2 linked regions of the Alligator mississippiensis genome follow. The protein of the gene in region 2 purifies or fractionates together with the protein of the main gene of each other region. This does not show direct contact. Links are inferred from orthologs where the notes say so. Each region holds a gene or a part of one and is shown on either strand. Other genes may lie near its edges.

The links.
Region 1: the proteins of MIOS (region 2) and SESN2 purify together in Homo sapiens (affinity purification with western blotting; 5 studies listed by BioGRID and IntAct, with this or other methods). This does not show direct contact. The link is inferred for Alligator mississippiensis from reciprocal best matches to the Homo sapiens genes MIOS and SESN2.

Annotation. Positions count from the first base shown.
Region 1 is NC_081829.1:2,266,037-2,272,996, forward strand, and holds the start of SESN2 (sestrin-2), read right to left. Parts: upstream 3,022-6,960; 5' UTR 2,823-3,021; coding exon 2,496-2,822; intron 1-2,495. UniProt on the Homo sapiens protein: Functions as an intracellular leucine sensor that negatively regulates the mTORC1 signaling pathway through the GATOR complex. In absence of leucine, binds the GATOR subcomplex GATOR2 and prevents mTORC1 signaling.
Region 2 is NC_081828.1:170,973,090-170,980,585, forward strand, and holds the start of MIOS (GATOR complex protein MIOS), read right to left. Parts: upstream 3,003-7,496; 5' UTR 2,867-3,002; intron 2,025-2,866; 5' UTR 1,951-2,024; coding exon 654-1,950; intron 1-653. UniProt on the Homo sapiens protein: As a component of the GATOR2 complex, functions as an activator of the amino acid-sensing branch of the mTORC1 signaling pathway. The GATOR2 complex indirectly activates mTORC1 through the inhibition of the GATOR1 subcomplex.

The sequences.
Region 1 (6,960 bases), on a different chromosome or scaffold from region 2:
CTGCTCGTCTTCTCCGCCTGGCTAACGAGAGCGGGCCTCTCTGATTATCTCTGCCCAGCCCCCTGGGCCTCCAGGGCTGTTGCCAGGGGTGGGGAAGAACACTTTTTCCCTTGGACGGGCTGGCTCCCAAAGCCTCTGTCTCCTCCAAGCTGACACTACCTACCCCATGTCACACCATCCCTCATGGCCCCCATCCTGCCCTCCCACCCCTCGCAGCAACCTCCCAGTCCAACCAACAGCAGCGCGAGGAAAGATGCATGGCCTAGTGGTTACAGCATGGCCTAGTGACTCTGCTACCAACTCGCTGGGGCAAGTCCCTTGACTGATGAGCACTGGAAGAGCGAATCCTGGCCAGCACAGAGCGGGGTGGGCTGCGGGGCCTCCTTCACGGATGCGTGGTGCCCCAGGAGCAACGTGGGCAATAGGGCTAGGAGGGACATTTGAGGGCTCTCCAGTCCAACTCCTGCTGTATAAACGGAGCCGGCTCCATCTTAAAACCACCCGCAACGGATTCCTCTTGAAATCACACCGCTTCTCCCAACCAAATGCCCTGCAGATATTCAAGCCACGCCATCAGCTTGAAAACCAGCCATGCTTCTGTCCAGAAAGAGCTTGCCACAACTCGTGTCTGAGCTCTCTGGAATCCAGTCTGCCTGCCAAAGTTACAGTGCAAACAACGGCACGGATTTTTTTTTGTTTAAATAGCAACAGCAATTCACTCTTATAATAAAAGTGGTGTATTCTGTACTGCTCAAGACATCCAGACTGGAGGCCTTTCTGGAAGGCGCTTTAGCCAAATCCACGTGGCTGAGCCACACAGAGGGAATGGGGTTACGTTTTCTGGCTTCTGATACAGGAGAGGTCGGGGGCTTGCTTCAAAGCAACCTCCGTGGTGTTAAAGTTTTCAGGTGTGTAACAGGATGATTACTTAAAACTACTACAACCTCCCCAGTTAAACCAGTACAGCATGTACTGTCTGCGATGGGGATAAGCGATGCTGGTATTTAGCTGCCTCCATCTTTTACCAATGTAGATCGACAGATACAAGCCCCGAGGGCTGTCGCATCCAAGCACAGCGGATGTGGCACAAAACACTCATACTGACCATGCAATGTACAGTAACTCCTCTCTGGGCAGCGGAAAGCACCCTGGAGGGCTCCTTTCTCCAGTCACTTCCCTATTTCCTCTCATCTGGATTCAGCTGCAAGGATGCTGCTATCCTTGCGCACAGGGGAGGAGGTTTCTGAGCAAGGTCACAGAGAGCTGTGACCTGGATGGTCTGCTGAGCATCGTGCCTGTGAGCCAGCTTGAAGGGACTGACCCATCAGAGGGTTTCTTTTTTCCCCCCGCTTGCCTGCCTTTGCTGCTAGCTAGCACTGGAGCAGCCACTGCACCTGCTCTGCAGAGCAACCTGGTGATGCAGGGACCAAAGGGCATCCCTTACCCAGCACATGGCACCCAGCTCAGAGCTCACCAGTGCTCTGGGAGAGGCGGCAGGCTCTATCCTCCCATCTACAGGGCTCTCCCAGCTGCAGGGAGTGTCCCCATGGGGGGATACAGTACAAAGCCAGGGAGGGCAAAGAGCATCTGATACCAGGGCAGCAGATTTCTCCACCACTTCCCACAGACATTTAGGCAGCCACTGGCCGGAGGACTGGCCAGCTGGAGCCTCAGGGGTGAATCAGCCCTTCATCTTCCCAAGCAGATAAGTGGAGTCATGCAGAGGTCAGTGGTTGTGCAGGAGACAGCCCTACACCACCGGGCCCATGTCAAGGTCTCAGCTGAGCAGGGAGTTGGTCCCGTGTCCTCAGCCAACGCCAGGCCTCCCTGCTCCCCTGTGCATCTGGCTGTGTGCTGATGCTGGGCCAGACTGAGCCCAGTACCTATGCTGGGGGAGCCTAAAGCAACACCACATCTTTTGCTTCCCACTGCACAGAGACCATGAGCAATGCAAAGAGGATGGGGAGAAAGGATCCCAGCTCCCCTGCAACCAGCTGCACCCACTTTGGGGCTGGTCCCAGGGCTGTGCAAGCTGCGATCTCGGGGTATGGGGGCTGCCCTGGGGTACGGGAGCTCTGCGCCCTATGAGCCAGGGAGCAATGCCCGGTTCCAGCAGGACACCAGGTGTTTTCCTGGTACAAAGGACTGCACAAAACCATCCCGCTGCAGCACGACAGCTGTTGTGACTGCTGACGTCTGTGCAGGTGCCTGACCCGAGGCTGGGCTCCACTGGGCCACGAGCCGCACAGACCCCTGGGGAGAGACAGGCTCTCCTGCACAGACACGGCAGGCCGTGTATAGGAGGGGAAACTGAGGAAGCGACTTGCCTAAGGACACCCGGCGGGGTAGCGGCCATGCCAGGAGCAGAACCAGGGGGCTGTACGTGTGCAGTGATGTTCGTAATCATGCACATCACGTGTGCAGTGATGTTGCAATCATGCTGCTGACGTGTGCTTGCAACCCAGCTGGTGCCCAGAGCTGCCCGGCCACCTTACCTGGAGAGCCTGCAGCAGCTGGGAGCACTTCTCTTGGGTCTCTCCAAAGGGGCAGCTCTGGGAGAGCCGGAGTAGCAGCAGCAATGTCCGGTGGAGGCCCGGGGACTCCTCCGTCTCCCCCTGGGACGGGCCAGTGCTGGGGATGCCGCTCAGCAGCTCCCGCCCCAGCGCATCCATCGTTTCTTCTCTGGTCCTCTCGCCTCGACTGTACAACCCCACCCATCTCCCAGGATCCAGGCCCCTGGGAGCCACAGCTCCTTGCTCTCCTGCCGGCACAGCACTGGGCACAGGGGTGCCACCATCCGCAGCTTCCCCGTGGTCCATCATTGCAGCACAGCCACGGGGAAGTCACAGGGGACTCGTCTGGGCCCAGGCTTGGAGGCTGCCTTCCCCCCAGTCAGCCGGCGCTGGTTTCCCGGTTGCTTCACAGGGAGTTTCCAAAGCTGCAGGCCCATTCACGCCACGGTCCGGCCGCCCCTGGCTCAGTCCCAAGGCGAGCTCCTGCCTCTCAGCCAGCCGGTTGGGTGCTCTGCAAAGCAAACAGACGGACAAGTCAGGCCAGGCCTGGGCAGGCTGAGAAAGCATCCCAAGCAGATGCAACGTGATCACCCCGAGAAAGCAGCCCTAGCTGATGCAACCGGATTGCCCGGCCATCGGGTAGCAAAACCAGCACCACGGCACAGGTAAACGGAGCCCAGAGCCAAGCAGGACATTTTGGGAGACATAGTCCTCTGCGCTGCCAGCCCCACGGCCTGCAGGACTTCCGAGGAGGGGGCCACACTGTCCACATGTAACCTCCCCCCAGCCCCATAGATGCCCCATCTCAGAGGATCCCTGTTTCTCGTTAGTTATGAGCTCCTAGCGTGATGTTGTAACCAAAAGCCCCGTCGGTACAGGGGGAAAGCAGGGAGCAGAAGGCAGGGGGTGTCACCTGGGTGCAGGGCCTTGGGGAGACCGAGCTGGTCCAGGTCTGGCGCCTGCCGTTCGGGGCAGGGCACTGAGAACATGCCAAGGGGGCAGGACAGGCCCTGCCGGCAGCAGAAAGAGCCCTGCAGCGAGAGACATGCCAGCTTCATGCAAAAGGAGCCTGAGAGAGGAGTGAGCATCATGCACGGTGTAATACTCGCCTCGAGCCGGCACAGGGCTCGGTGGGGGCCAGCAAGGATTCCAGCACTCCCAGGCAGGACTCGTTTCCTTCCTGCCCCCTCCTCTGCCAGCCTCTATCGGAGGCAACAACGCAATATCCGAGCGAGACGACAGCCTCGCCCAAGTGGAAAAGACAGCTCCACCTCTCGGTGGAGGTACAGACGCTGGCAGCCCGTGCTTTCACAGGGAGATCATATTTTAAATGGGCCTGGTTTGCATCTTCGGTGCATCGCTTTTGCAGCACGTTGCGCTGCTCACGCTGCGCTTGGAAATGCTCGTTTAATCCTGAGTCACAGGGAAGAGTTTCTTCCTCCCGAGTCCCTGACAACATCTGCAGCGTTTAGGAGGTCCCCGGTCAAATACTGACCTGGCCCGATCCTGTTCAGCTTCTGCGACTGGAAAGGATCGTGGCATGTGCTGCTATGGCTGCCACACAGCGCGGGGCACCCAAGCCGAGGAAACATTCATCACGGTGTCATTTTGCCACCGGCTTGCTTGTCCAAAGCCTATCCCCTTTATTGCAAATCAATAGGAAGCAGCTGAAAGGAACAAATATGGGATGAAGCTTTCACTGCCTCAGCTCTCTTTGGTGACAAAGCCTTGGGGATTAAGAACCCAAGTGCGGGTTAGCTTGCTCTCACACTGACAAAGCTTTAAAAACATTAGCTTTATATACATATATATATATGGGCAATCCCACAATCTTCCCCATCTCCACTATGAAACTAAAAGCCCCCGTTTGGACTCTCACAGCTGTGCACTTGGTGCTCCTAAGAAACCATGAAGGATGGAAATATCCATCCGTGAGATTTGATACCTGGGAGATTTTAACAGCTGAGCAGCTCCACGTATTCAGGGTAGCGTTGTGCACAGCACGCGCTCGTTTTATTTCAGGTAGAAGACCTTGGTTAAAACGCCGGGATGCCTATGCCGCAGTGCAGGGCAGAGACACACAAGCTGGCTTTCAGTGAGCCAGCTTGGGTCCTGGAAGGCGTGTACAAGTAGCAGCATGAAACTCAGCTAGAAGCAGGGGAAGTCAGTCCCTGTTGAGCCCCAAGACTATTTCCAGTACCGGCGCTAACCTCGTTTTATTGTACGCTGCACTGCAGTCTGCAGGATAGACACGCGCATCTCTCTCAAAAGCGTCGGGTCCTCCAAAAAGGCACGAAAACACACACGCACGCATCCACAAAGGACCCCAGAACTCACGGACAGACTTGATGATCTAAAACCATCTTTCACAACCTTTTTGGGTGGGTGACACTTCAAAGCTAGACATCTTCATGGCCTTTCTTCCCTTTTCTATGTAATGAAAACAATGCAAGCATGATGAGCTGCTATAAGGCAACCCCAGCCACTGCATTTGACTTCACAAACAAGGGAGATTTCAGCCGGCCCCGAGTTATCCTGGCACCTGTGTTTGCTTTGCACTAACATTTCTCAATCGCAACCCCCTCGCCTGCCTGATGACGAGACTCCTCCTCCCCCATTTGCAGAGAGGTTGTGACCCAGTGGTTGCAAAACACCTTCGAAGGTGCCAAGGGTGTTTTGACCTTCCCCGTCAGGCTTCAGAGCTTGCTCTTCAAAAGCAGCAGGAGCCAAGCCCTGTGCTTTCCTAATCAGACAGACCATCACCTGCTGCTTCTCTGGACTTGGCCATCAGGGAAGAATGAGCGGCATGTCGGCAGCACATACCTGTGCTCAAGATTGCTCCGAGCTGAAATGGGAATGTAATTTTTGGGATGGCTTGTCTGCAACGTGAAATGCCCCTTATTCCAAAACCCTATCGGCTCCCCATACAGCACACTTGTCACCTACCCTACACCCGAGACAGCCAAGAAGAGGGTTAAGTTCTGTGCCCAATTTGTCTATTATTTACATGATGCAAACTGAAATAATAATTGACAAGGCACAATCAGGCCTTGCTTTTGGCTAAATCTTCTTCCTTCCTCTTCGATGCCCCGTTACAAGCTCACCCTGTTTGGAAAGCATTTGATCCGCTTCAATGTTACTCCCACCAAGCTTATTTCTGTGTGGCACAGATGGTTGTGGCCACTGAATTACTCACAGCCTGTCCTGTATCTGAACCGAGCCGCGCAGGAAACTTCAGCAGCACCATCTACCACCGGAACGGGCAGCTCTGACAGAATCAAAGCGGGTTGTGAAATTAAGTTGATGAGCTGGAATTTTGCTTCAGAAGAAAACTGGGAACAAACCACAATTCTGATAATGTCAAGATCCTTCATTTTGAAATCAATGTTTGCAGTTTCTGTTGTGCAATTATTTTAAAATAATTGTGTGTCGTATTACAAATTATAATGCAAAGTCAAATCAAAACACATCCACCCAAATGGAGGTTTGGTTTGACTTTAACTTCGTGTTTGGGAGTTTCTGTCCTATGCAGAACAAAGCCACGTTTCAAAATCCATCATCACATGAATTTATGTCCTCTCCAGCTCAAGTCTGCATCCTCCCCCACCACTGCAAAGTAGGGCACTGCTATTTCCCCGTGGTACAAATGGGGAACTGAGGCTCAGTCTCATTAATTGACTTGCCCTGGGCTGACGATGGTCTAAATGCTTCCAGAATCATCCCGCTTCGGCTTCTCTTGCAGCCATGATGTCCCGAGCTGCCTAGGAGGGTGAGATGCACAGTTTCCATTAATCTCAATGCCCCTTTTGCACCCACATCCCCTAGAAGCTTTGAACATGCCACCCTCTATTTCTCCCCTCAGCTGTCTCCTGTTGAATTGCAGTAGATTTGACATGCTCTGGACAAGCATCACATTGGCAAATAGTGCCAGCTGGGTCCTGAAGGATGGTATCCCTTTTATTCACCCGATGGACGCAGTAATGCCAGCAGCAAGGCAAACGCCTCTCTCCATGAGGCCTCAGACCTGAGCTGGAAGTGGCTCCCAGAGAAGGGAAGGGGAGTTCTCCCTCTTTTGCCCTTCGCCGTATGGTATATTTTGTGAGAACGGACACGTGTTGCCAGTAGCTGGAGGGGCGAGTGGTCTCGTAACAGATACTTCTCCATCAGGAGCCCCACGCTGACTTGTGTACAGACCACCAACCAGAGAGGACACGGGCACCGTGCAGGGTCACTACTGCCCCAGGTCTGAATCTGAATCAACAACGCAGAAGCAGGAGGCACATCATGCTACCAAACTCTTCTCCCTAGCCAGGGGCACCCCGTTCCCCTAATGGCCCTAATTTTTCAAAGCACCCGATCTCTCTTTTGGCTTTAAAGGAGCAGCTGCAATTGTGCTAACTAGTGTCAAATCTCCAAGTGCATTAGGCACCTCTGAGCTTACAGGATA
Region 2 (7,496 bases):
TGTTTAGTATTATAACAGTATTACTGTGCTAGTGTATTTCCTCATTTAGACAAACCTTTAGTGAAAGTAAGCAGGGGACAAGGAATATCCAGTTTCCTCTCTATTCTGCCAAAGTGATAGTTAAAAATATGACACTAAATGGACTAGTTTCCATTTAAAAGATTATATAACTATCTAAAAAATAGGCAGCATTCAGGGTACATTTTTGATTGCTAAATATTTAGTACTTTTAGATTTTTCATCTTCAAAGTCCCTTTCAAATATTAGTTATCACAACTCAAGCTGAGGAACTGACATATCACCAACAGCAATGGAAGAGTTACAGTTAAAGAAAAAAAGACACAGTATTTATATAAATTAAATAAATGCTATTCTGATTATGCAACTAGGTAAGCATATTTTGAGGTATCCCAGCTGGTTAAGGAGACAGACTTTAAAACATACATCCTCCAATAATTTTTTTCTATCTGCCTGAAAAGTAGAATTTTTCATTCCCTGCATTCCCAGTGTTCATAGAGTATTGCAGTGTCCCACACTGTTTGAACTTTATGCTCTTTATGTATTTAATATATAACATAAACAGTTTACAGAGACTAGAAGGCTCCTTTGCAATTCTCTCCCTTTTCTACAGCTGTTTACATCTGAAAGGATATAATGCAGAGTGTACCAAAGCGACTTCAGCTGAGGATCTTCATTTCCAGCTAGAAGATGATTTCTCCAGACCTGCTCAGTATCGAGGCCATACCTGGATAAAGCTCTCAGACGCATTTTGGTGGCTATATCTTTTTCTAAAGAACTAGCTTTTCCTTCCTCTGTGCATTCATACAAGTGTCGGCCACATGCCCACATTAAGGAAGTTACTGGACTCCATGCCAAAGAAATCCTTTCAAAGACAGTGAAGTCAGACATCGCTCTGTTGGGAGTAACAACTACCATTCGATTTTGACTTGTAGGATGCCACGCAAAGGAAGCAATGTAATTGTCACATGGCTGCACACTTCTTTCAATGATTGTAGGCTCTGTTTCATCTCCAATAGGCGTGGGAGTATGCTGCATGTCATACAATCTAATGATGTTACTATCCCTGGTTAAAGTAGCTAGGAGTCCAGTTCTTGTTGGACACCATGCTACTTTTGTTAGGGGCTTTGGTTGCTCTGTCAGGGTCAAAACAGGTTTTTCAAATTTTCTGAGGTCCCATATGGCAACCTGGCCTTCATAGAAAGAAGCCACACGATCATGGAAATGCGGGTCTACAGTTACCCCCTGGACAGCCTTAGTATTTACAAACATCTTTTGGCTTGTGTTCCTAAGGTCAAAGATAGCCAGGTTTCGGTGCATTCCAGCTAAAAGAAGCTTCTGATCCCGTGGAAGCCAACAAAGAGAAAGACAAGCATCATTCTGTCCCAGTTCATAAAGTGGCTTTGTGACTACCAGCCCTGCTTCAGTATCACCAGCTGAAAGTCTTACTTTCTCTGTGGCAACTGCAGTCTCTGGAGTGTATTTGCTACTGATATCCCAAATCAGTACTGAAAAGTCAGCCCGGTGTTTATCTAGGCCAGCAGCAAGCCAGTTACTGTCCAGTGGATTCCATGCTAGGGTATTACATTGTCGGGCATGTTTTGGAACAAATTCTTTGCCTATCAAGTCTTTGGATTTTGAGTTGTGATCCTGTCCAAGGCTGGTAAGAACAACTCTGCCATTGGCCTGTCCAACAGCTAGGAGACATTCCGGATCGTATTTAGGATACCAAGCCACACATTTCATGTAGGGTGTGTCTGAGTTTATTGATAACAATGTAGCAGCAGTTTCTTCTGACAATCGCAAAGATCCTGCTTTGGGTTCCGAACTCACAGCAGACTCAATGAGGTAGAGGCTCAGTTCAGAATCGCATACAACAAATCGATCAACGTGGTGTGGAGCCCACAGAATATCAGGCTTGGAGCCACTCATGCTTGCTATACAATCAGCAGACCAGGCTTACAGTGGTGAAGGAAAAAATCAAGTGACATCCATTGACAGGAAAACTGTGAACAAAGGAATTTGTAATAGTGTTAGAGAATACAGACTCCTTCAACTGTCTACAGCATCTTAAGAGGCTAGGACAAGTAGGGCACGGTTTAGAGTTCTTTCTAATGCAAAGATTTAGAAATGTATGTTAGAGATAAATGTCAAAAGCTCTTCTGACATCACCTCAAGGCCCCATCTTCAACCTTGCCCTGCCTGATATTGACACAGTATCTCCTGGGGGGGAAGAGAGGGGGAAATCCATCTATTCAACCTTGAATTGAAAACAAGACTCGTCACTTGTACAGCCTCTCTCATATTACTTTCTTGTGTTTCTGTAAGAGACATGACACCGGTAACATTGTCTGGTTTATCTATCAAGGCTCTTCCAGCACACATGCAAACTGCTCCCAAAGTGTGGGAGGTACCAGGGCCAGTTGAAGCCTTGGTACAGTGCCAGGGTGGGGACAGGAAGCTGCGCCGGTTTCATCAGTGCGGACCAGCTGGAAGATAACTGGGCAGGGTCCTAGTTACAGTCTGGAAACATGCCTCCCCCGAACAGCCCTGGCTTGGCCACGAGACTATCGCACTCAGCACGAGACGCCGGCACCGAGCGTGCGTTTGCTGCGGTTTCACGCGGCCTCAGTGTAACCGGCGACGAGGCCCCTCGCCTGGGCTAGGTCCAGGTCTGGGCGGCGCTCGGCCTCGCGGCTCGGCCGTGCCCGCGCTCCGCTCCTCCGCAGTAACCTCGGTACAGACGCGCCCGAGAATCCCCCCGGCGCCAGGCGGGGCCGGCAGGATGCCGCGGGGATGGGGGTCAGCCAGGCGGGGAAGCCTGGAGCCCGGCCCCCAGCGCACTCACCCTGCTCCCGCCGGGCCCCGCTACGCCGCGGAGCAAGCGAGAAACACCCACAGATACTTCCGGCTTGGGGCCGGAGGATAAACCCGCTACTACTTCCGGAGCGAGGGGAAGGGAAGTCCAGTCTCCCCTTCCGCTTCCGGGTTTGGAGAGGGGGAAGGGGAGGCCTGTGGTACTTCCGGTTTCGGGGGGAGGGAGCTCTCCTTCAGTCCGCGGGGAGGAGGGTGGGGCTTGTGGAGCCTTCTGACCTTATTTCCGTGGGGGCGGGGCCGGCCCTCGGATTGGGTCACGGGCTGGTCCGTCGGGGCCCGGAGCGAGGAAGCGGGTCCGGGTAGGCCCGGGCTGCGCTCCGTGCCCTGGGGGGAGGGCTCCCGCCCGCCCCGTGCCCGAGCTGCTGAGCTGTCCCTGTCCCGCTGCGGGGCGCGCAGGACCCGCCTCGTCCTGGCTCTTAACAAAATCTTGGGACGAGCAGGCCCGCTTAAGTCGGAGGAAGATAATAGGCAGGAGAGGGGGCCCCTACAGATACAGGGTTTCCCCTGGTTGTCTTCACTCCCCTGGTCACAGCTGTGTCCTCTTTTGCCTCTGGCTGTGCAAGACAGGCGACTCCTTTTCTTAGTTGTAGATAACCTAGTAGCCCTCCACTGTGCTGGCTTATTTCCTTGGGAAACTCATTGTCCAGCTGAATCCGCAGTGGCGCTGGCCCAGATCGAGTGTCCAAGTATTGTGCCTAGCAGGAACAACAGCTGCCCTTTGAAACCTCTTTCCCTCCGCTGAACGAACTCCCACTTCATTCACAGAAAGTCTCTTGCCTTCAGACAGTGGATCCGCGCCATCAAAATATTGTTGAGAGGCATTGAACAAAACATTGACAAAATCCAGATGGCTATGTGTCATCTGTAGGAAAATAAACTGAAAATGTTTCTTTTATGAAGGAGGCATTTTAAAATGACAGGCAGATAGGAAAAATGTCTGGACTCTTGGCAAGAAAGTCTGTTACACAGACTTGCTCCATTAATTTTGTCACGTAGTCCAAGAGAAAGGGGGGATATCCAGAAAACAAAGCGTGTCCTGTGTACAAAATAGATATATGACAGTAGCTGCAGGTGGTAAGTTTCCCAATACTAATGAACTTCCCAAATGGTTCTGTGGTTTCTGTGTGGGCGTTGAGGGATGACTTCCTTTGCACAAAATGCAGTCTTCAGAAGTCCAATAAAATCGATGGTCAAATAAAAAGGACTGACATCATCATACAAGACAGGTAAGCATCTCAACTTGCCGGGCACAAGAGCAAAGAAAAAGCTATCTGTTGACTAGTCCTATTTTTCTTAAACTTGGCTTAGTGACCAACAGGGAAAATATTTAGAATCGTAAGAAGAGTAGAGCTTGAAGGAACCTCAGGAGCTCATCCAGTCCAACCACCCCCCGAGGCTGGAGCACCCCTATAACAAGTGTTTATCTAACCTAGTAGTTCTCAGCCTCATTAGACTCGAGACACCCCTCAGAAAAGCCCACTCTTAGTTTTCACCTGGGTTTTCTTTTACTACAGAAAAATGCTTCTGTTGCAAATAACAGACCATGACAGATTAGACTGTCTTTGGCACTATGGATTCTTATTTGACATCTGTGGGTTTATCTTGTGAATCCTGTTTGCACACGTAACAGTAATAACATCATGTTGTAGCACCCTGGTTGCAAATCACTGGTCTAATCCAACCTTAAAACTACGACCCTCTTGCACAACTACCAGGTACAGTTCCTGAAAACATCAAAAACCACCCTAACTTGGCACATGTAAAGCAGAGGGATGAGCACATTGTCAGTGTCCTGCTACTGCAAGGACAGAAAGTAGTTTGTTAAAATGCACTCAAGAGATGCAAGGGTGTAGGTTGTAGCTATGTTGGTCTAAGGACATGGGCAGACAAGGTTCTTTGGGTAAATCTGATATCTTTTATTAGATCAACTCAGTTGGAAAACATTCTTCTTTGCAAGCTTTTGGGCACAAACACCCTTTGTTAGGCTGTGGAGGCATCTGTAGTGGGTGTGTGCTCTTCCTGGATGGAATGAGTAGTAAAGAAGCCAGAGGCTGACTGCCTGCCTTGCATGCATGCCAGCCTTTGGCTTCTTTACTATCCCTTCCATCCAGGAAGAGCACACACCGACTGGAGATGCTTCCTCAGCCCGACAAAGGGTGCTGGTGCCCAAAAGTTTGCAAAAAAGATTTTTTTTTCCAACTGTTTTGAGTTGGTCTAATAAAAGATATCAGATTTACCTAAAGAACCTTGTCTGCTCAAGAGATCCAAGAAAGGGGACCATACTGCATCAGAGGAAGGCAACCTCCCTTCCCCTGCCCCAGTCCGTGCAGATTTGATCATGGGGTTAAATTATTTCCTGATACCAAATGATTTTACTCCTGAGCTAAGGAGTAAGACAGTCTAGCTGAGAATCTTGTAGTTTCAGAAGAAATCAACAAAACATATTTCTGTATTCTGCTTTCTGCATTCACTTAAACCAAGAGTTGTATGTAAAGATATCCTTTGGGATATGAGTCCATGTGGTGGCTCTATGGAAACATTAAAAGATCAGCCACAAACCCTGTTTGATGCAGAAAAAAATGAGAAAAGTTAGGATTATTATAGAGGATCCTTAATTTATGCTTCAAGGAAAAATGCCTATTTAATGTGTTTTCCATTTTAACTGCACCTATAAGGATGAAGATTCAAGTAAAACCATAGCGAGTAATATCACTTGGATATTTGTACTGGAAAAATTGATTAATTTCATCCTGCCAAACACTTGGCAAACAGAAGTTGTTCTGATAGTATCTGCCTATTTGTATGGTACAAATAATCTTGGTAAAAATATAAGGGATAATTATTTTGAGACGATGAAAAAAACAACTTGGGCAGACAGGAAGTGGACTAGCAGTAGAGAGGGATAGACAAAAGTATGTTGTTTTGTCATTGCTAAATAAGCAAATGTTGATAAATACTGTTTACACACTCTCTCATGATTTTGTGTGTCCTAGATCATGTTTCTTTGATGTCATTTTGTTTTGGGAGACTTGTTTCTAGTGTTCTGTAAAATCATAAATCATATTAAGTCAGTAAATGTTAGTTAAAAAAATGTTTTTTAAAAAGAGAAATCTCTTGTGGTTTGCTGCACCTGCAAATGACTCAAATGATTTAATTTATTAAGAGGAAAGACAACACCCAATTTCTTCAGTTGCAGCTAAACATTTTCGTCTTGCAACACAAAATGTTGTATGGTTTTGATTAGCAGGATATAACAATTTCTGACCCGTCTCTCTAATGGGAAGTACCAGATCCTGGACTGTCCATTTTGAATTACACACAGTCACCTTTCCCTCCCCCCGCTACCCTCCGTCCTTAGTATGGTTGAATGCAGATTAATTCATCCACCCAAGAAAAGGACCTGCATGTCAATGAAGACCATGGTTCAAAGTGGACATGTGACCAAGGCAGCAAATAAGATGTAGGGTTATCATATGTCCAGGTTTTACTGGACATATCTTCTTTTTTGGCCCCCTGTCCTTGTGTTGGGATGGGTTTTTGAAATGAGAGCAAATGTTCCAGTTTTTGCCTTTGCCTCTGCTTTCTCACGCTGGCTGTTTGGGGCTGAGAGCAGCAGGCAAGGTGACTGGCTGTCAGGGGTCATGTGGCCTGCATGCAGGCCCGGCACGCTCCCAGGTAAGAGAGACAGATTTTGTGTGTGTGTGTGCGCGCTGCGTGGACAGCAAGGCTGGGGGGGGGGGGGGGCAGGGGCTGCAGGTCAGGACTAAGGTACAGGCACCAGCAGGGCTGGGGGTGGCAAGGGCTTGGGAGTGAAGAGCAGAGGCAGGACCCAGGCATATCACTGCCCCCCCCCCCCAAACATATAACCCCTCACCTCCACAGGTGTCCTCTTTTTTGGTACTGGAAATATGGTAACCCTATATTGCTAGGACATGTATGAAACTGATGTAATTTTTTTCCTTGTATTTTTATCCTGTCCATTATACATATCAATAATGAAGCCTCATCTGAAATGCTGCATATCACAAAATATATTATAGAATTTGAGAGGATTTAGAGAGGTGACAGAAATGATTACAGGCAAAAAGAAGTTCTCATATATAGACAGACAGAAGACTGGAATTGTTGACCTTCCAAAGGAAAGTTTAATGTACATATTTAGTAGTGAATGGACTAGATGAGGTAGATAGGGAAAACAAATACACCCTGTCTAGTAATGCAAAAGCAAAGGAATATTCAATTAAACTTAGAGATGGGAAATTAAAAAATTATAAAAGGAAATATTCTCTCATGATATTTTCTCATCACGTCATTAGATTGTGGAACTTACAGACACAGGGTGTCGTTAAACCAGGCACTTTGCCAGATTCAGAAAGGGTTTAGGCCAGTGTTTCCTAACCCGTGTGCCATCAGACATTAACAGGTGTGCCGTGAAATCTTGGGCGGGGTGTGGCTTCTGGCTGGGCATGGCTCCAGGCAGTACTGCCACTGCAGCTGTGCACCTGCACCACACCCTGGCCAGCCCTGTGCCACCCCCCTCCCACTCCGCATCCGGCCAGTATGCCATGGGCCGGAAAAGATTGGAAAACTCTAGTTTAGGC